Alligator mississippiensis: one gene and its partners. The protein of the gene in region 3 interacts with the protein of the main gene of each other region in a pairwise test. Links are inferred from orthologs where the notes say so. Each region holds a gene or a part of one and is shown on either strand. Other genes may lie near its edges.

Region 1 (5,571 bases), on a different chromosome or scaffold from region 3:
GGGGCAGGGGGTGCTAGGCCGCAGCCCCAGCCCGGGAGCCAGGCTGCGGGGAGGCGGGCGGGCGCTACCTTGAGCAGGGAGACGTTGGCGATGCGGTCCAGGGGGCTCATCAGGTCCGCGTCGATGAAGAGGTCCTTCCTGCCCGGCAGCTGCGGGGGGGGGAGGGGACGGGCACGGGGGTGCGGGTGACACCGGCTTTCCCAGACCGTCTTCTCGTGCCCGCGCAGCGAGGGGCCGCGCACCCGCATGTCACCGCCCCGCCACGTTTCTGGCCCTGGAAGTAGAGCCGCCCCCGCCCGGGCGCCCACCTGCTCCAGCAGGTAGACGAGCTGGTCCCGCGCCAGGCGCTTGAGCACGGCGAAGTCGGGCGGCTCGGGCGCGTCGCGGCGGCCGGGGGAGGCCATGGCGGCACCGGCGGAACCGACGCGCCGGGCCTAGGCTCCCGGCGGACCGGAAGTGCCCGCTGCCACGGCAACCGGCGGCGTGCGGAAGCGGCCGCGAGCGCTACTTCCTGTTCCGGCGCCAAGGAGGGCCCGGCGAGGCGCGTGCCCCCCGCTCGCGGCGTTCCGCCCGCAGCCCCACGCACACGCACACGCACGCGGCATTCACGGCCTTTATTGTCGCGGGCGGGCGGGCGGGCGGAGGGACCCCGCCGGCCTCACTCTTGCAGCCCGCGCGCCTCGAAGAGCCGCCGCAGCTCGTCCTCCAGCGCCGCGTGGGTGCCCCGCAGGCCGCGCACCACCTGCGCCGCCCACGCGAAGTACTCGTGCACGCGCTGCTCCGACCAGCCGGCCGGCGTGGCGCGCTGCAGGTCGCGCAGGTTGTACAGCTTGTCGGCCAGCTGCAGCAGCGCGGCGGGCGCGGAGCAGCGCGGGGCCCGCTCCACCTGCAGCCGCTTGCGCTCGGCCCGCGGCAGCGCCTTGTCGTCCGACACCTCCTGCACCAGGCGCCGCACCTCGGCCCCGAAGCGCCGCTCCAGCTCCGCCGCCGTCGTGTCCGTGTCCTCCAGCGTGTCGTGCAGCAGCGCCGCCTGCGCGGGGCGGGGGGGGGGGGATCAGCCCGCGGGCGGGGGCAGCCCACGCGGGGCGGGGGGGGTTACCTGCAGCAGCACGATGTCGGTGACGCCCGCCTCGTGGGACAGGATCCGCGCCACGCCTGGGACACGCGGGGACAAAGGGTCACGCGCCGCCCGGCCCCGCGTGGGGCGGGGAGGAGTGAGGGGGGGCGGGGGGGGGCGCACCGAGGGGGTGGTTGATGTAGGGGGTGCCCTCGGGGTCCTTGCGCCGCTGCCCCGCGTGTTTCCGCGCCGCGAAGTCCGCCGCCTCCAGCAGCCGCCCCGCGTCCGTGTCCATGGCGCCGCCGCGCCGCGCCCCGCCCCCCCCGCGCGGGGCACTGTGGGTAATGGCAGCGAGATGTGACAACCGGGCCCAGGCCCAGGCCCCGGCCCCGCGCGGCGCCACCCGCCCCTGCCCCGCGCCACCCCGCGCCGCGCCGGAGGGAGCGCACGGACCGCCGCTCTCGCTCTGCACACGCACACTTTAATCAACACGGACCGACCGCTTCTCCCCGCGACTCGGCCCTTATTTCCTGCAAGGGGAGCAGTCCGCGCCGCCCGGCCCCGGCTCCGGCTCCGGCTCGGGGGTGTCCGCGGGCCCGTCGCCCGGGATGCGGTAGAGGAAGGTCCCGCGGCTGTCGAAGAAGTCGCGGCCCCGCTGCACCACCTGGGCGCCGCGCTCCCGGCCCGCGCCCCACGCCTCCTCGGCGTCCCACGCCTCCGCGGCCGGCTCCGGCTCCGGCTCGGGCCGTGGGCAGCCGGCGGCGGGCGGCGTGGCAGGGCGGCCCCTTGGGGGGCGCGCGTGCGGCGGGCTGTGCCGCGGGGCGGGCGCGGCGGGGCCGAGGGGCGCGGGCAGGGCGGAGCGCGGGGCGGGCGGCGGCGGCAGGGCGCGGGCCGGGGCGGGGGCCCCGCGCTCCGGGCTGGCGGCGGGGCACAGGCGGCTCAGCGCCCGGGCGTCCTGCTTGTCCCGGCACCGCGGCGAGGGCGAGAACTTGCTGCGCAGCACGCGCCGCACCGCGTCCTCCGACACGCCGAAGCCCTCGGCCAGCCGCGACACCGGCCACTCGTCCCGCAGCTCCCGCCACAGGAACCTGCCGGGGGGGGACGGGGCGTAGCCCAGTCAGCGGCGGCCCGAGCCCCGCCCCGCCCCGCCCGGCCCGGCCCGGCCCGGCCCGCCGCGCTCACCGCATCTGCGTTATGGCCTGCCAGGTGAGCAGGCGCTCGGGGACCACCCTCGGCTCCATCTCCCGCCGCAGCCGCTGCATCCGGATGGCCACGCGCTGCCGCTGCAGCGCCCTGCGGGACACGGCGCCGTGAGCCGGGACCTCCGCCCCGCCCGGCCCCTCCCCGGCCCGGCCCGGCCCGGCACCTCTCCGCCTCCCGCAGCGACTCGAGCTCGTCCTCGTCCTCGTCCTCGCCCCCGCCGGGCCCCGCGGCCGCCCCCCGCCCCAGCAGGCGAGTCCCGGGGCCGGCAGCGCGGAGCGCTCGGCGGAGCAGCAGCACGGCCATGCCCGCCGCCCGCTCACGTGGGCTGAGCGGAGCCGGGGCGGGGCTACCGGCGGGGCCCGCACGTGCCGGTCGCCGCGGGGGCGGGGGGAGCGGAGCAGGCCCCGCCCAGCAGAGCCGGGAGGCGGGAAACGGTACAAAACTTTAATACAAAGCCGGGGGCGGAAGGAGCCGCCGCCGCCGCCCGAGACGGCCCTGCCGGGCCCAGCAAGGGCAGCCAGGGGACGAGGGCGGGGCCAGCCGCGGCGGGTGCCAGCCCCTCGTGCGGGCGATGGAGGCCGCTCCAGCTCCACGACAGCAGCCCTGGCCCCGCACAGGCGCTGCCCGGCGGCTGCGGCCCCAGGCCCGTCAGGCTGCAGGCTCAGGTCCACTTCCTGCGGAGGGAGGAGGGGCCCGGGTCAACAGGGCACAAGCAGGGGAGAGGACCCCCCCATCAGTGCCTGGGGAGACCGCGGCCCGTGGCTCCCGGCTGCCAGCGCAGGAGCAGGGTGTGCCAGTGACACGGACGAGGGGCACGCGCCAGCCACGGGCGGGCACCACCCCCAGGCAGAGTCAGGTGTGGGCAGCAGGCCTGGGTTTGAGGGTGGGTCTCCTTCCCCCTCGCCCATGTGGCCTCGGCCGGGCCAGCCCCAGTACGGTGGCCAAGCTGTCCCCTGGCTCGGGCAGACCTCTGCTCCGGGAGCCTGGCTCTGCGGGGCCCCAGCCCCGAGCTGCGTTACCGGCGGGGCAGGCTGAGGACGGCCGTGGCGTTGGAGCGGCGCGAGGCGTCTGTGCGCTGCACCAGGGGGGCAGAGGCAGAGGTGAGGGCGAGGTCCCGCGTGGCCTCGTGGTAGAGGGGCACTGTCACCGAGGGGAACGTGTAGTCGCTGCACGTCTGGCGCGGGGCTCGCCTGGCGTGAGGCAGGCAGCTCAGGGAGCCGGGATAGCCAGCACCAGCGAGCAGGGGCCGCCTGACCACGGGGCCCTCTGCAACGAGAGCATGGGGGTTAGGGCTGATGTGGCAGCCAGCAGGGCAGCGGGCAGTCCTCGCCCTCACACTGGTGCCTGCCCCGGCCCTGGGGGCAGCATCCCATCAGCTGCAAGGAAAACTACCCAGCCCCCAGCTCCCTTCTGCTGCCAGGCGCCCCTATGGCAGCGAGGCGGACGGCGGGAGGCAGGGCAGCAAGCCAGAGGGTCCTGCCAGCTGTGCGAGGGAGGGTGGTGCCCTGCAAACAGCGAGGCAGAAGACGGTCGCCTGCTACCCGGCTGGGGGAGAGACCTGCAGGGTCCTGTGCAATGACTGAGCCAGCAACGTCCCCCCAGGAGCTGGGGGAGCGCCCCGAGGGCGTCAGCGCAACCTCTGCCTCCAAGCTGTACTCACGGCCTCGTGCCCGGTCTCTGGCGCTGAAGAACCTCTGCCCGCCCGCCTTCGCCATGCTGGCGGGTGCGTGGGGCTCAGGCCCTGCTGCCGTCCTCGTCACGTGGCCCCCCAGCCAGCCCACACTCCTCTGTGGCGGGGGGTAGTGCTGCAGCCTGACCAGCGTGCGGTAGGGCAGGGCCTGGCCTGCGCCTGGCAGAGGGCCCGGGAGGCTGGGAGTGTAGCCTTGACTGGCCAGCAGCTGGACCCTGGCTGCAGGCAGCTGCCCCAGGTACCGGCCTGCCCTGCCCAGCAGCGAGAGGGGGATGAGGGTCATTAAGCTCTGGGGCTCGTGGTTCCGAAGTGTGTCTGAAAGGAAGGGCGGCTGCAAGAAAACAGACACGGCCGCTGACATCCCGGGCCTGTCGCAGGGCAGAGGCGCTCACTTGCTGACTGCCCCTGGCCCTGGCTTCTGATGGAGCAGGGGCAGAAGGGTCTGGATTGGCACTCCCACCCCCATGCCCAGGTCAGTGGTTCAGCAGCCAAGGGGCTCCCAGCTAGGTTTGCACCCTCTTTATTGCTGGCCTGGGTTTCTCCAGCTCCAGCCACTGAGCTGTCACCACCTAGGACCACGCATCCTGGTCCAGGGAGGTCGGTAAGGCTGCTCGAGTCGCATCTCAACCTTCTCCTTGTTAAAACAGCTGCCCTGATCTCTGCTCTCTCAGGGCAGGGCACGTATCCAGGACCCGCATCATTCCTGTGGCTCTTTTCTGAACCGTTTTAGCCTGAGCTGTGTCACCATCCCCCAGGTCTGGACAGATGCCCGCAGAGATGGAGTATACCCCAGAGACATTGTCTAGGGCGCCCTCATTCCCAGGGGCTGGGATACCCCTTGGGAACTCTGTAAAGAGGGAAAAGGGCTGTAAACATGGTAGAGCCCTTGGAAACTCACGCTACCAGGTCCACTGCCTCCAGCCTGGCTGTGTGGGGAAGTCAGGGCCTGGGGTGCCTGGCTGGTGTCTCTGCCTGCCCATCACCTCCTGTGCCAGCCCTAGAGGCCAGATCTGAGCAGCCCACCCCTACCTGGCTCTCAGCAACACCAACGTGGGGCCCGAGGATGTCCAGGGGCCCGGGCTCGCTGCTGAGGAGCAGCTGGGAGAGCTGGTCCACAATGCCCAGGCCCCGGATGAGGTGCTCACGGCGTAGAAGAGCCCTGACCCTCTCTGTCTCCTCGTGGGCTATGATGTCCTGGGGCTGCATGGAGTCAAGCTGCACCTGTGGAGCCTGGGACAGAAACATGCTGGGAGCTACCACGAGGGCTGGGTCACAGATGTCAGCAGGGAGCAAGGGGACCCCAGGAGTAGTCAGGCTCCCACAAGGTGTGGCCAGCACTGGCTGGAAGGACAGGCCGAGCCCCGTGGTTCTGTTCCCAGGAGGTAGGCATGCCCTGGATGCGTGCACTGGTATACAGGTGGCCAGCCTGTGGCACACATGCCACAAGCGGCCTAGGCAGCCTGTGTGTGTGATGCGTGGCAGACTGAGGAGGGGGCAGACAGCACAGTCACAGACAGGGCAGGGCGCAGAGGGCAGAGCAGCAGACCAGATGGAGCAGAAAGCAGAACATCAGATCAGGCAGTGCACGCAAGGCAGGGAGCAGGACGCAGAGCAGAGACTG
Region 2 (7,633 bases), about 43 Mb from region 3:
AGTCAGTGACACTGCACCCAACGTTGAGTATTTTCATCCAAATCTATTAAAAATTTCCAACAGGATCTGGTCACATAACTCCACCTTGGATACCTCCTGTGGCTTCAACCACTCTTCTAAGAGATCGGCCAATTGCTGCAACAGAATCCGCAGGGATTTCTCTTCTTTTTTCTTTTGGGGCAGAATTTTCTCTTCAAACCCCATCATATGCTTTCTTTTTATATCTGTTACTATAAGTATGTACCTTTTATTTTGTGTGTGCCTGAATCCTTGTGGCCAACACTCAGATGCCCTCTCCAAGCTTCTGGGAGTGGGTCAATTCATTCTCTTCCTTTTTTTGTTTTGTTTTGTTTACTTTTTAGTGCAACTGCCAGCTGCATCTCATGGTATGCCTCTTTGGGGATCCACCCCTCCTCCTTCTCTGAGCTCCGCTCTCTCCGTCATCAAGAGAAATCCTGAGGTAAGCCTCTTATCTTCTATCTTCTGGGAAAACCCTTTTTCTCTTTTGGCCACTCTCTCTTTTTTTTTCTTCTGAGACTCCCATCTCTTCTTTCTTTTTTTTCTTCCGGAGCTTCTATCCTTCTATGGTAATAGCTCCAGAAGCGGCGTTCCCTGGCTTTTTTCGCTGCGTTGTTGTTTACTCTTTCATAGTCTGTCCAAGTGATGGAGGAAACATGCCACAATATGTGTGAATCCAAAGATCACCAGAAAGACATATGTCTTAATACATATGTCCTTCTTTGAATCATACAGTTAGGCCCCTTCTACATGTGCAGGTTAAGGTGAGATAGGATCTAATGTGTGATTCATGTAGTTGTGCCTCCTGCCGTGCCATATGTGCATGCCAAGAGGTGAGATTATGGGATTGCATATTGGATCCCGTTGCACCTTACAACCAGTGCAGGGGGAGCACACTGGCAAGAAGCAAGCTCCCATAGCTGGAAGCCCTGTGCATCCCAGCTGAGGGGTTCCCAGCTATGGGGGTGCCCCATGAACCCAGGGCAGGGGGATCATAATCTCTTCTCTGGGATTGCAGGAAACCCTAGGGATGGAGGGTTGCCACTGAGATGATCTCCCTGCTCTGGGGGTGTAGGAAACCCCCAGGGACAGAGGATCACCATAGGGGTGATTCCCTCATCCTGGGAATGTGGATCATCTGACCCTAGGGATTTCCCACATGCCCAAGCCATGATCCCCATGGACCAGAGGTTTTGCACTGGGCATGGTGCTCCCCTGAGGTTGGGAGCCCTGTCAGCTGATAGCATTCCTTTCTTGTGCCTGTCTCTTGGCTACTTTCCTATGATCAATGGATTACCATTTCAATCTACTTTCCAAATTCCTTAACTGTCTGTCAATCTCCAAGTCACTCAAGAAGTTATGCCTCAGTTAAGGAGAACTAATTAACACTTTAAAACTTCCTAGTACTTTCAAGATATTTACCACGTCCTTATTACATTCCCAAAATGGGTCTGATTATAGAACAATCTTGAGACAGCCATCAGTTCTAGAGAGCTGTACTGTGGTATGCTTTATATATTAAAGGCATATTAAAGTGATTCTGTAACTGTGATGGTCCAGAAATTATGCAAGAGGCAAGGATTTGTTAGGATGATTTATTTTATTGCACCAACTATATCGCTGGGATGAAGTTAGACATGCTTTCAATTGCAAGAATCAACAAAGAATGTCTTGTCTAACTTTAACCCAATACATAATTGGTTCAATAAAAGATATTTCCTTAACAAATCCTTGCCTTTTATGTATTAACCACCATTCCAGTACCACTGTACATCTACATGTGAAATTAATGTGAAGCTTATTGATCCAGAGTTTATTGCTCCTGGGCATGCCATTTGAACATATACCCAGGACCAGAGTAGGTTGGGCCAGGTCAAAGTAGCCCTGGATGACAGGGGGTCCTGGGGGTCAGCCTGCTAGCCTGGGGTTCTTCCAACCTGGCTCAACATGCTGTGGAGGTGCTGACTGGATCATCAGTGTACTTCATTGTTGGGCTACCCATGCAGTGCTGCAGAGTAAAAAAAACTCCACAGCAGGATAGTACTTGTACTTACCATGTACTACCTAGCAGTGGAGTTACTTACTTTACTTCAGCCTAATAAAAGCATATGTGTGTTGCCCTGTGGGGTCAGGCTAACTCTCAGGATCTCAATATTATGCTGTTAGACAGAAGGGTGTGGTATACAATTGCACATGGACACATTAAAAAATCAATTAGGTGCATACACACACTGTAGGTGCATGCACCCCCACTAGGCTTGCACACACACACTACCAATTCAGGCACATACACATCCAAAATTGCCAGCCAGGCAAATACACACCTATCACCAATTCAAGCACCTACACACACTATACACACCAAAAGAAATTAGACCAGAATCAATTACCAATACCTGCATACCCAATACACATACATGGATCACTAATTCATATAACATGCACACAATGACATACATGTATATCAGTTCGCATACATACCACTCACCTACACATACAGACAGGTGAGTTCCTAACTTGGGTGTTGTGGTGTGTATGCATGTGCTTGGGTTACCTGGGGGAAGGTTAAGGTAAGCGAGAGAGAGTGAAAGTGTAGAGGGTGTAAGTCGCCGGGATCGGGATGAGAACCAGTAGACTAGAAAGAGAGCTGAGCTGAGGCTTGGGCTTACTTTAGGTTACTGCTGGTGGAAACTGAGATGAAAGTTGCCAGTGCCAGGATTAGAACCGGCAGACTGGAGGGAAGTTGGGGTAACTTAAGGTTAATTGGTGTTAATTGAAAGCAGAAAGACAGCAGAGCAAAGGAGCAATGCCAGAGAGAAGGCTGGAGCTGGAGCAAGGAAGCTACAGGGGAGCCGAGAGGTACGTGGGGAGAGGAAAACTGGGATTGGGGCTGTGGGGGTGGGGGAAGGCTGGAGAACACATTGAGAGAGAGAGAGTGCAAGAGAAGGCAGAGAGAGATAGGGATTGGGGAGAGCTGGCAGGAGGCAAAAAGTGGCGGGAGCGGGGCTGAGAGCCTGAAGAAAAGGGACAGAGAGGAGGCAAAAGGTGGTGGGAGTGGCGGGGCTGAGAGCCTGCAGAAAAGGGACAGAGAGGAGGCAAAAAGTGGTGGGAGTGTGGTAAGAGCCTGCAGAAAGCAACAGGGCTGAGCACCTGCAGAAAAGGGACAGAGAGGAGGCAAAAGGTGGTGGGAGTGGGGCTGAGAGCCTACACAAAGCACCAGGGCTGAGAGGCTGCAGAAAGGTAACAGAGAGGAGGCAAACAGTGGTGGGAACAGGGCTGAGAGCCGGCAGAAAGCAACAGGGCTGAGAGTCTAGAGAGAGGGAGAGAGAAACTGGAATTTAAGATAGGGAAGGGACCAGGGCTCAGTAAAACCCAACCCAACTCAGGGTTACAAATGATAGTAGTTTTATTGAACAGGGGAGATGGTAACACTCTTTTTTATTGGTTCCTTTACACACACACACACACACACACACACACACACACACACTGGAAGCAGGGGTTAAAGAGGCAAGAGGAGGAAAGAGAGAGAGTCCAAATTGGAGGAAGAAATATGCAGGTGATATCTACCTGTCCAAGGCTGAAAGTGGGTCCTTGATGGCCAGTTGGGGTCTCCTTCAGCTCGGTGTTGTCCATAGGGGGTCGCCGGCAGTGCCTTAAGTGGATAGGCAGTGTGACATGGAGCTGGTCTGGTCCAGATGGAAATGGTGTTCCCAAGGAGTCAGTCTTCACTACCCCTTTTTATGGGGTAGACTACCTCTGATTTCATATGGGGAGGGCCTGTCCAGGCAATGTCAGTCCTGTTCCAGAGGGTTCCAGGTGTTCTTACTGAGCATGCGCAGCCTGGCACAATGGTGGGTTGCCTCATCTTTTGTTTCTTGAATGCTGAGGGTGGTTCCAAGGGCTGGGTCATTGGCCCAGGTATTGGTGTTGATGGTTTGGTCATTCAGAGCTATTTTTAGTTCCCCGCGTGGGGAACAGCTGATTAAACAGCTGGCGTAATGCTGGCTCACGTGGCTGCAATCCAGGCTCCTGCTCTTATGGCCGGCAGGAGGTAAGTTCACCCCGTGGGGGTCTGTTTCTGGGGTTTGGGGCCTGCGGAGATTGCCCTCTCCCCTTCGAAAGCCTGTGGGGGCATTACAGATAAGGTGCTGTTACAGATAAACAGCCTTGTCCTTATTGATTTCTCTGCAGTCAGTGACAAAAATCTGTTAATTTAGCTTTTGCCACTGATAGAAATGATTTGGGAACTTCATAGAACCCGTGCTATGTAAAAGAAATATCTGTAAAAGAGCAAATAAAAAAGAATCTGAAATAAATTGTGTGACTCTCAGTAATTCTTTGTTCTATGCAGTGCACTGCACATATGCTGTAGAAACAGGTTTTTTTATGAATGGTAAACTGGGAGGGGCATAATGTCATCAGATTCTGATGTCAGCAGAATGAATGAAATACTTGCTTATCATATTGCTCCAAGAACAAGAAAACAGACACACCACCCCAGTTTGACAGAAAAAATTCCTAGAACAAATTGTCTTTTGCTGACTAAATCATTGTTCCCTCGTGTCTGAAATGACTGGATGACATGAAGATACACATAGAATAATATATATTTAATCTCCTACACATCCCTTCAAGAACTGTTAGTGGAGCATCCCTCCTGTGACACTGCTAATGGGCTCAGTGAACTGAAGACCTGGCACTGTATTTTTGCTGTTGTCTATCCCAATGTTCTGCTTTTGTCTGCAGAATTCTTTGTTGAAGCTACAAACCCTAGAAACTGACTTGTGCTCTGCATTTTTGCCAGCCCAGGAAGAAATTCCTCAGCTACCGGCTTCCAAGGATCCAGTCCCTTCATCTGTTCAATCTAGTGTGCAAGATGATGGGGCCAGTTATGGAGGTAAGACACTAAATATCATGATGTGTTTTCATTTGCAATTATAAGATAGCCTGCTGTCTTGTAGTTTAATCTAATATTTGTCATCTTTTGAGAAGTGCAGATGAAATATGAAGGCTGAGGCACAATATGTTGCTGCCAGTGCTATGAAATATAACAAGTCATCCCTTTGTTTATAAATAGTGATAACCTATTTTTCATACCTATAAATCTTGCTTTTAAGACAAGCTTTAAGAATCCTGCATTTTCAGTTTTGATCTGCTTTTATCACAGTAGGGTTTTTGTATGTTCAGACAGTATGGTCTTTATTTACTGTGTTACAGCTGCATTCTGTGTGATGTTCTGCCATTTCGTGTAATTCTATTTTTGTAATGTTTTTTGTCAGAGCAATATCACTTCATTTCTCCTATTATTGATTCTAATTTAATGTATCAGCAGAGAGATAGTGCAGGTGAGTTTTTATAGCATGCTGATTGCAATCTCCCTTGTCCATCTTATATATTAAGATGTGTCCCATTTGTTTGTTTATTTATCCATCTGTCCATCCTCAACATGGAAACCAGTTCTTGCAAATAAACAACCGTAAGGTTTAGCATCATTTTCTGTCATTCTTGGCTTGTACTCACAGGACTGACAGAAGTAGGAGCCTAGACAGAAGAGGAACTAATGCTTAGGAAAAATAGTTCAAAGTAATCAAGAATATCACACTACATTTTAAATTTGTATGATATGCAAGTTTAAAATGTGCACTATGTAGGGGCCACATCAAGGTAAAGAGGTCAGTATTATAAGGCCTAATCCTTTTTTCTGCAAGGCATATTTTATGATAAAAAGCTCAGTTCAGGAAACCATATTTCAGAAGCTTCTTATTTATTTTGTACAAGGCAATTAATTTTATTTACAAATATTTTTATAAAATACACTTTTCTTCTTTAGACTCTTTCAAATGGATGTAATGAGCTGCAAAATTAAGGAATACACACTTATAACCCTAATTATTGTAAATCTAATCCATACCAAGAATATAGCCTGCAAAAAGAGTGACATATTTTGGCTTTTGAGTTGTTTAGGGGTTTTTTTCTTGTGTTTTGTTTTTTCTGAATGCTGAAACAGAAGTTGGAGAATATTTAATATAACAGCTATGGTATTTGCTAATGAACCTAGTTTCTGACGTGTACTTGAGGTAAAAAAAAATGGAGGCTACAGGGGCAAGATCTCAGAGCTTGTACAAAACCTGCATTCTATGTATTGGCAGGGTGTGCTTTCTGTCCTTTTCCTATTTTACATGATTTTTATACCCTGATGGTTTCATAACTCAGAATAATTTATACTCAGTTTAAGACCTTCTGTAACTTTTATCTTTGATGTGAATTGGACTTCCTTAAACTGTTAAAACCCTCCCAGTTCAGACAACACCTCTAACACTCATCTGCTCATTTACATTTATGCAAGAGTATCTTAGATGATGACACCCAGCTCAAATATATGTGATTTGCCACGCTGTTATTTCTAACCTGGGTTTTAGTGAAAGCTCAGCTCCTTATGGATTTTAATACACACCATGCTATGATAATTCTTGCTTTTTGGCTTTTCTAATTAGTAGCACTGGCTCCTATTCTGTCTTTGAAAAAAATGGTCTAATTTAGAATTACAGTTAGGTGAAACACAGTAGTCCCAGGTTCTGTTAGCAGTTATACTGATATAAATCTGGACATGGTCAAATTTACACCAGGGTAACTGAGATTGAAATCTGGCCCATAGAGTATATTCTGCCCTACTATGCCTGTATTATCCCATTGTAGCAAAACCCCCAGTTTTTCTTTTTTTAAATTTTGAAATACATTTCCTCAACTTACCGTAATGATTTCTGACTTTCTCTCTGCCCTCTCCATACCTTATAAGTGAATACAAGTAATACTAGGTAAGCTAAGTTCCTGTATGCTATTATTGTAATAAGCCGCTTTTTATATTGTAAATAGTGTTCTGTTCCTATCATTTTTGCATTGATTATTATTGTTTCGTATTAATATTGTATGGTTTAGGCCTGTATCTGTAAAGTAATGTCAAGTCTCCATCTTGTGTCCCCTGCCCAGGCATACCCTATTGTAACTCTGTTGTAACTGTATGACTCATACCTACCCCTCCTATGTAAATTGGTTCCTGAATGAATGGGGATGAATGAGGGTGCTTGAGAGACAATGGCAGTAAGACTAAAAATAGCTCCCCCGAATGACTGAGCCATCAACTTGATGACCCAACCATTACCCTGCATTGACTCTCCCTGGCTCAAGATTTGGAAGAGAGAGACTGCTGCAGAAATCAGCCAACCCACCACTATGCCAAGGCTGCACATGCTCAGTATGAGCATCTGGAACCCTCTGAAATAGGGCTGACTTTGCCTGGTGTCACAGGCCAGCTGGTCACTGTGAGTGTATCAATTTTATCACAGGCCAACTGGGCTGTTTGATTCAGTTTTGGATTGAGGAGGCAAAAGTTGGGTGTGGAATGAAGGCAAATTTTTTATAGCTTACACACACACAACAGTTAACAGAAAGATAAATGCAATAAGCAGATAAGGCAGTATAAAAGAGCTAATAGTAAATAATAACAACAGATAATAACAGATAAATAGATCAATCTGTCACAGGCCAACTGGGCACTGCGAGGGTATTAGCCACACTGGGCTGTTCAAAACAACAAATAGACAGACATGGGCTG
Region 3 (7,748 bases):
AGTGAAGTAGAGACTTGATGTTCTCATAAATATTTTTCTCAGTATGACAGTGATAACTATCAGCTGGGGAAGAGGAATGGAGGATCAGTGTATGGGCACAAGACAGTCTGCCATAAAACCACATCCAAAGCTTCCTTCTGCGTACATTTTTATTTATAGATTTAATTTGTAAACAATAGTCGATCTCAAAGGAGGGAGGCTGTTCAACCCATTTCCATGTCTACTTGAAGAATTATTCCAGGCTATCCAGCACAGCCAGATTGGTAGGCTAGTTTAGGATAGATGATGTAATAATAAACATCAGCATGTAAGTTAGGTACAGGTGAATTTTTTAAGGGCCATCAATAAGCTTGTGTTTGATATGGTGGTGGTGAAGTGGAGCTAGTGGAGTGGAGGGATTGGAAGAGAGAGTGTAATGATAAAAAATATATATAAATAAGGAAAGTGATCTTGGCAGCAGTGTTTTGACCAAACATGAAAGGAGTACAATAGGTGTTAGGAAACTCAAGAGAAGATGGGATGGCAGTAGTCAAGGGGGGAAACAGAGAGAATTTTAAGTGGTATGGTGAGAAAGGCAAGGCTAGAAATTAGTGATATTATAAAAGAAGAATTAACAAGATGTGGAAACAAAAGAGGCAAGTTGAAAAGGAGCACAGGCAAGATGACATGCCAAATGGGACATGATGGGAGGAGATTCAAAAGAAATTAAGCTAGGGCAAAGTGAGAGGGGTTGGGAAGTACGTTTGACATGGTGAGCATTAGCCAGGTAGCTCACTGCTCAAGGATCATGTATTTGTTACATAATTTAAAGCAGTTAGTGAACGTGTGCTTCTGCATTTATTCTATGGAGCATAACCAGCTGAACTATAGTACACCTGTCCCCAAAATACCTAAGTAATCTATGCCTTAGCAATAGAATTTTTAAAGAAAAACATTGAGCCATGAAAGGGAAAAAGCTATAATTCAAGTTCTAATTACATGCTGGTTGGTTTTTTACTCAACAGAAAAAAATTAATATTTCCTGGGAGCGTTCGACTGACCACAAGCAGTCTCTGTGAAATAGATGTCAAAACACTTTTGAACTCTAACGCTCATATACTCAGGCTTTAACCCAGTGTGTGTGAGATTAAAAAGGAGATATGCAGAAATTTGGAGGAGTCATTTATTTTTACAGTATTAAGTAGTAGTACTTGGATTATATTCATTACAGTCAGTACATTTTGAGCTTTGTAGAATAAATTTCATTTTATATTTGAAAAATAAATTACAATATAAATAATCTTGGTAGTCAATATATAATCTTTAAATCTAAGTGTGATCTGATTGAAATAATGAATTTTCATATTTTCCTTATTCTTCGTATCATTTCCTTTTGATAAATGAATCAATGTCAAACTAAACTGGAATTGTAATATTTTTTTGTGGATACTGGTAAGAATATAATTAATTCTGGTGGATAAAAGATAAAAGATTTGATTAAGAATGCTTCTCTAGCTTTTCCCATTAGTCATGTACCATAATGATTCTCCTCTTGGGACCTCCTATACCTACCACACAAACCTGCTATAAATCACAATGAGTTAATACTAAGTCAGTGGTATACAAATAAAATGGTAGTTTTCATAAATTAATTTTATGAGCAGGGCCATATAGGAATTTACCTAACAAATATCACCCATTCCCTCTTTGAGTTGACTCCAGACTGGTTCCTGTTGTTGATCTACCCTGGGCCCTGATTCTTCATATAGCGTATTTTTGCTGACTTCAGTGGGACTCTTGATGTGCATGAAGTTGCATGAAACCATACTGGTTAGCAGCATTGGGGTTCTGCTTTGTTAATACATCCAAACAGTTTTGTAGATTCTCTTTTACTCTAACACATCTTTCTATCTATTCATCACAATGATGTTTCAATGCTTTTATATAGTGCGTATATTTGTTAACAGATCACATAGGAGCCCAGTTTGCTTGGAGGGATGCAAATTACCCCTAGAGCCCTTAGAACACCTGTTTCATTGCTTTAATCAACTAAACAAATAACATAGTAACTATTGATAAAATTAGGAGTCTGGTAGTAAAAAATTAAAGGACTAAATGTAATCCAGAAGGTTGCAAGATTTATCTTTAAAGCGTTTCTGTAATGTCGGAATACCCTAGGGATCTGACAAATCTGACTTTAAAAGGAGACTTGGTCAGTCCTTTATTCACCCACATTTTGTGACTGAATATATTCCAGAGCACACTTATTGCCATTTAGACATTATGTGCAGGGAGAAATAAGTGGGTCTAAATCATTTACACTTGCAATTATTTGTACTAGGAAAGCTGAGAGTACAAAATTAAAGGATTTGTCTCAAAATAAGGCTCCACAGTTGCTATACAAAAAATTAATAAAACCTGAGAATAAGGAAATGTACTGATAAGCAATGCTCTTTACAGAGCAAGCCTGAAAGGTGAGTGCAAGTACATGTTATATAACATGCAGCCAAGTAGAACTGTTGACACGGGGATGAGATGGGAAAGCTTATGGTATGATCAAAGGCTCACTCAAGTTAGTGCTAGGAGTCTTTAGGTGTATTTCTGTGTGCACAGGATAAAGGTATTTGTGAGTGGAAAAATAAGATGCGACTGAGAAGTGGCCACTGATGTTCCCATGCGTATACATTTCATGCTTCCAGCTGAACTCTATGGGCATGTTCCAAATTGCAGATCCCTCATGCAACCCCTGTCCCCAAAGACAAGTGCTGCTGAAGCAAGTTTAGGAAGCAGCCTGACGTGATCCTTCTTGGTTTGGGAATTGAATGATGCATCTTTGATCTTGTAAAGAGCTCAGGTAAAATGATGCTAAGCATACAAAGACATTCGTTAAACAAATATTGCAGTAATTAGTCTGTAAACTAGTATGAAGTTCGCTGCTTCAAAATGTTCATGAATCATTTCATTAAGATGCTATCCCAAAAGCAGCAATTAATATACTAAATATAATGAACATTATTACTGTACCTTAGTTTCTAATTGTATTTTTGCTTCCCTCAACTCTTCTTTAATTGCCATAACTTGTTCATGGTTTCTTTTTATTTCCAGTTTAACTGCAATGCAAAATAAACCTTGAAATACACAGAATAATATAAGAGGGATTCTGGCGTGCAAAATGGAGTGGTGTCAAAGAACAACTTCCGTGCAGCTCTATAAATGCTAGCTTGCTAACTACAGAATTTTTCCTATGGAAGATGGTGTCCCACTATTATCCTCAGTTACTAGAGGTGGAAATACATATTCTGGTGTGGCAAAGAGATGTAGGGAAGAAGTTTTTCAGAATCATGGACATAAATCTTAAGTTTGTGAACAAGGAGTGCCCAATACCTATTATACCGTAACAAAAATGAATTTGGGTATGCAGTTCAGTGGTAGCTCTGCTACTGCTTGCCCCCGCTCCTACCTCTCCTTACTTGCTGATGAAGTTGGGGTTTTTAGGCCACTATTTGCAGGCTAATTGCTATTACTGCAAGGTACAGCCAAAACTTAAGGCCTAGTCAGGAAGCAAACTGAGGGCAGCCCAGTGACACGGTCCTTGGGGAGGTCCCCCCAAACCCTTAAAGTTGCATAGGTAAAAATCAAGCCTGGACACCTTTCTAGAATACATGCCTTCATTCAGTGGTTCTCAACCTTTTTTTAGACTCAAAGTATCCCTTGTGAGACTCAAGGCACCCCTCAAAAAATGTCAGTTCTTAGCTTTCACTTGTTTTTTGACTGTGAAAAATAATTGAGCAATTCTTTTGTTGCAAAGCGTTCAGAGAAATCCCAAGAGAGGTTAGGATGTTTTTGACACTAGAGATTCCCGGTGGAAATCTCAGCGTTTATCTTGCGAGTCGCGTGTAGGGGTTTGTACCCTTGAATGGATCTCGTGGCACCCCAGGGTGCCACCGCACCCTGGTTGAGGCTCACCGCCTCCATTAAAAATGAGGTATTGTGACAGCACAATGCTATGGGGCTGTGTTGTACAGGAGGTCATGCTTAGGTGGTCTTTTCTGGCCTTCAAATGGGCCGTTTCTAAGGATTTTGTAGAGTTGCACACTTGGCAGCCAGCAAATGGCAACATCAAAAACATCCCCCCTGTCACAATATGGTTTAAAGGCCTCTAGGGAAGCCTTCAAGGGTCCCTAAGGAAGCGGAGATCCACGCAGTCGAAGGGACAATCCTGACCGTAGCCATGCTGACCGACCTCGGTGTGTGAGGCGCCGCTTCTCCTCGGCCTGCTGCTCCGTGAGGAGGATTTGTTGAAACAAGGCGTCTAGGCTCATTTTTGTCTCTTCAGTGGCAGGACCAGGATTTAATTGGGTTTTTCTTAATCTCTGCTTCCGGGAGGGGGCTTGTTCGCTGCTTCAGAAGGGCTCTTGCAGGGGATGAGGAAGGACGCCTTTGCCGAGCCTGACTCGCCCACCCTGCCTGGCCGCCTTTGGCCCTGCCCCTGGGGCTCGCCTCAATGCCACAGAAATGGCCGCTTCAGCAAGTTTTGTGTCGTGAGGAGAGACCGCTTGCCGGGATAGGGGAGACTGATTCAAAGCTGGAGAATAAAGCTGGGATGGAGACTAACGGGATGAGGCACTGGGAACGCAGGCGATGGGGGAGGGCAGGCAGGGCCAGGTGCAGCGGTGGAGAAGGATGGACAGGAGAAGTGGAGGTGAGGGGGGACAGGAAAAAACTAATAATGGAGGGGGGAAAAACCCGGAGAAAAAGCTTAGTAAAAAGTAAAGAAGTGCTGAGGTAGTTCAGGAATACAGATGAGAAATATAAGAAATAAAAGCTAGCAGGCAGAGACAGCAAGCACAGGCGAGAACAGGAGAAAGAAATAAAGGGCCAGGAGGGAACAGGTATTTTGCACAAGAAAGAAGAGACCGGCTGAGCTTTAGTTGGAATGTATTTTTAAACATTTATTTTTACAAAGGTTTTTCGGCGATTTTTGGGGGGGATTTATTCATTATTCCTGCCTGTGTTTCTCCAGAGCAGAATTCTTTTTCGTCATTTTGTGTCATTTGAAGTCTGCCTGTCTGTCTCTTTCTGTCCTTCCTTCTTTCTTTCTGTCTGTCCGTGAGGCCCAGGTGTTCGGGCCAACCTGTACATACTCTCTACTGGCCCCAATTTGTCACCCTCCCTGGAATAAATGCCTCTTAAAAGTAAAAGTAAAAAAAACAAACAAAAAACAACAACAAAAAAAAACTTTCTGTCTGTCTGTCTGTCTTTCTGTCTTTCCCTTTTTCTTTCTCTTTCTGTCTTTCTGTTTTTCTGTCTGTCTGTCTTTCTTGGGTGTGTGGGGGGGTGTTGGATATTCAGCATTCAACATTCACATAAACGTTCAAGCATGGAGTTTTTCCCTCTTCATGTCAGATGGGTACAGAAAGTTGGAAAATGTTTAAATAGACAAAAGTCTCATCTCATTTATAACCTTACAACCCTGTGAAGTCAGTGAGTCTGCCTAAATGGAAGTTCGATGTATTATCAGCCCCCAATCTGGACGCCGTTCAAGTGGTCATGTTCCAGGTCTAATCTGTTCAAAAAAGAGAACTCAGAACTGGGCCTTGGTGTGCTTTTATAAGTGAGTTTTACTATACATGTGTCTCTTTCTATCATCCTTACTCATTATAATAGTCGTATTAATATCAATTCAAACACTTGCATAAAGTAAAAATGACAGGGCTTTGACTCAAAAGCTTTCTAAAATGGCTTACTAAATACACTTCAAAGCTCAGACTGGTAAGAGGGACTGCTCTTGTTCACCTGAGACAGCAAATATATAGGAGGAGGTACATTTACCCCACTCCAGCGCTGTTAATGTTGGAGAAAATTGGAGTCCTTGGCAGCTGTGTTGAGTCCCATTACTGTCCTGTTAGCAGAGCTATGGGTGGTGCTGTCAGGTGTTGTCATAATATTTTCCTGAGGGAATATTTTCCATTCCTGTCTCCAAGTGGAGCATTTGGAGGTAGAAAGAGACCATTACTATGAAGTTGTGGTTGTGTTCAAAATTACTGGCTGGACCTGAAAACTTAAGCAAAATGTTATGCTGTGGTTGGGCGACTGTTTAAGAAACAAAATATGGCTTTGAAGAATCTTAAAAAAATGAATCAGTCAATCTTTCTGTCTGTCTGTCTGTCTGTCTTTCTTTCTCCAAAGTGCTGCTGAAGGAAGAGGTCGCAGTGGTGAACTCTGCAATGTGTTGGAGCGGTGAAGCTTTCTACCCGAAGGACAAAGGAAAATCAGATTACGAGTCAAATGAAGAATTTATAGCAATTGAAATAGTTATTTCTTCTCCAAGCCTGGTGAGTGAAAGAGCCATTTTTATAAAATGCAAGAAAAAAAGCACTACATATCCTTGAATCAAGGAGCAAAATAAAACAAAAAACTGGTCTTTGAAGTTGTCAAGACTTTACTGGTAAAGGTGCAAAAAGGGCTTTCATATTTCGAACTATGAGAAAGCTGCTTTAGGTTTCTGAAGGGTGGGAGAAGGCTGGGAATGCTGTTCGGTGTCATTTATTAGAGAAAGAGCTGCTCTTTGTGCAGGGTGCTTGTAGTCTCACTTTATGGAAAAAGGACTGCTCTTCATAGACAAGGGAGATAGGCTCCAACTATAGTTCATTTCTCAATGCCCGCTGAGCTTTCTTGTACACCTCTGGAAGATATCACATACAAGATTTTTGTAAATCTGGACTGGAGGAAGCAGAATGCTCTTCAAAATCTCATTTGCTAGTTGTGACCTAGACTGAATTTCTGTAAATGCTTCACATAAATAGTCTCAAATTTAGTGAGTTTGGCAGGATTATTAGTCTAGAAGGTTAGGATCCTTTAAGGAATTTAGGCACTCAGTTCCTATCAAAACTGATGGGAATAAGGCACCTAAATACCTTTGAGGATCTAGGCCTAGATGTTTTGCAATACAAATAACATTTGGCTACAGTCTTTTCAAATTAAACTCAACTCTTTGCAAAGTATAAGACCTTTTGTAAGTCTCTGGCTTTTCCAAAGGTGACTTTAATTTTATTTTCGGTCATATCAGTGCATTCTAATCTCAATCTATATCTACATCTTAATCACTATGCCCGTAATCAGGTCATGTCTTTCTAGTGTACTTCAAAATTGGTAATTGCCATTTGTAATCAAGCTACTGTGATAATAGTAAAGTTTTCTTTATAAACTGTAGGTTGTGTAGGAAGGGGAAAACAAGTTTCTGTTTCTAATTGCAAATAAGCATAAAAAACCTGTCAATGTAACTTATTTTCAAATGACATCCACTCAGATAATTTCGAAAGCAATTTTTTTTTTTGACATCCAAAAACATAAGTTTGTTTTCTTGGCACTAAAAGAAAGAAAGGGCAGTGTTAGAAGTAGGTTATATAAGGTGACTTTCCACTATAGAATAGCATTTAGTAGAAATATAGAAGATACAGAATTATAGTTTATAAAGATTTTTTTCTGGTCTTGTGAACACATCAGTTTTTTTTTTTTTTTTATTTCCAAGCCATTTTCTCTTATTTTCTGTGCCATTTGAACTTCGTATCTATTTTATCATTACCAAAAATGTCCAGTTATCTTTTCACGTAATAGCTACTTCTAACTCGCATCTGAAAAAGCAAAGCATTTTTAATTGCATTTTGAACATAGAAAGTGTATTAAAGTGGCTGGAGTTCAAGAAAGTGCTATGGAGATGGAGACTGGGCAGCTTATAGCTGACATTTGCTACCCTAGCACTTCCCCCA

The links.
Region 1: the proteins of CCDC172 (region 3) and HDDC3 interact in binary tests that used the Homo sapiens proteins (3 or more experiments, as listed by UniProt). The two-hybrid records come from large-scale screens. The link is inferred for Alligator mississippiensis from reciprocal best matches to the Homo sapiens genes CCDC172 and HDDC3.
Region 2: the proteins of CCDC172 (region 3) and FAM13C interact in binary tests that used the Homo sapiens proteins (3 or more experiments, as listed by UniProt). The two-hybrid records come from large-scale screens. The link is inferred for Alligator mississippiensis from reciprocal best matches to the Homo sapiens genes CCDC172 and FAM13C.

Annotation. Positions count from the first base shown.
Region 1 is NC_081834.1:842,433-848,003, forward strand, and holds HDDC3 (guanosine-3',5'-bis(diphosphate) 3'-pyrophosphohydrolase MESH1), read right to left. Parts: upstream 1,581-5,571; 5' UTR 1,536-1,580; exon of another isoform or gene 1,519-1,535; intron 1,393-1,518; 5' UTR 1,353-1,392; coding exon 1,241-1,352; intron 1,156-1,240; coding exon 1,100-1,155; intron 1,031-1,099; coding exon 659-1,030; 3' UTR 600-658; downstream 1-599. Other genes in the region: VPS33B (vacuolar protein sorting-associated protein 33B), read right to left, coding at 69-149, 309-404; NGRN (neugrin), read right to left, coding at 1,581-2,145, 2,240-2,350, 2,424-2,563; tubulin polyglutamylase TTLL13, read right to left, coding at 3,649-4,281, 4,980-5,180. UniProt on the Homo sapiens protein: ppGpp hydrolyzing enzyme involved in starvation response.
Region 2 is NC_081829.1:46,977,580-46,985,212, reverse strand, and holds the start of FAM13C (protein FAM13C), read left to right. Parts: upstream 1-4,543; 5' UTR 4,544-4,746; coding exon 4,747-4,918; intron 4,919-7,633.
Region 3 is NC_081829.1:89,992,289-90,000,036, forward strand, and holds the start of CCDC172 (coiled-coil domain-containing protein 172), read right to left. Parts: upstream 3,086-7,748; 5' UTR 3,055-3,085; coding exon 3,004-3,054; intron 1-3,003.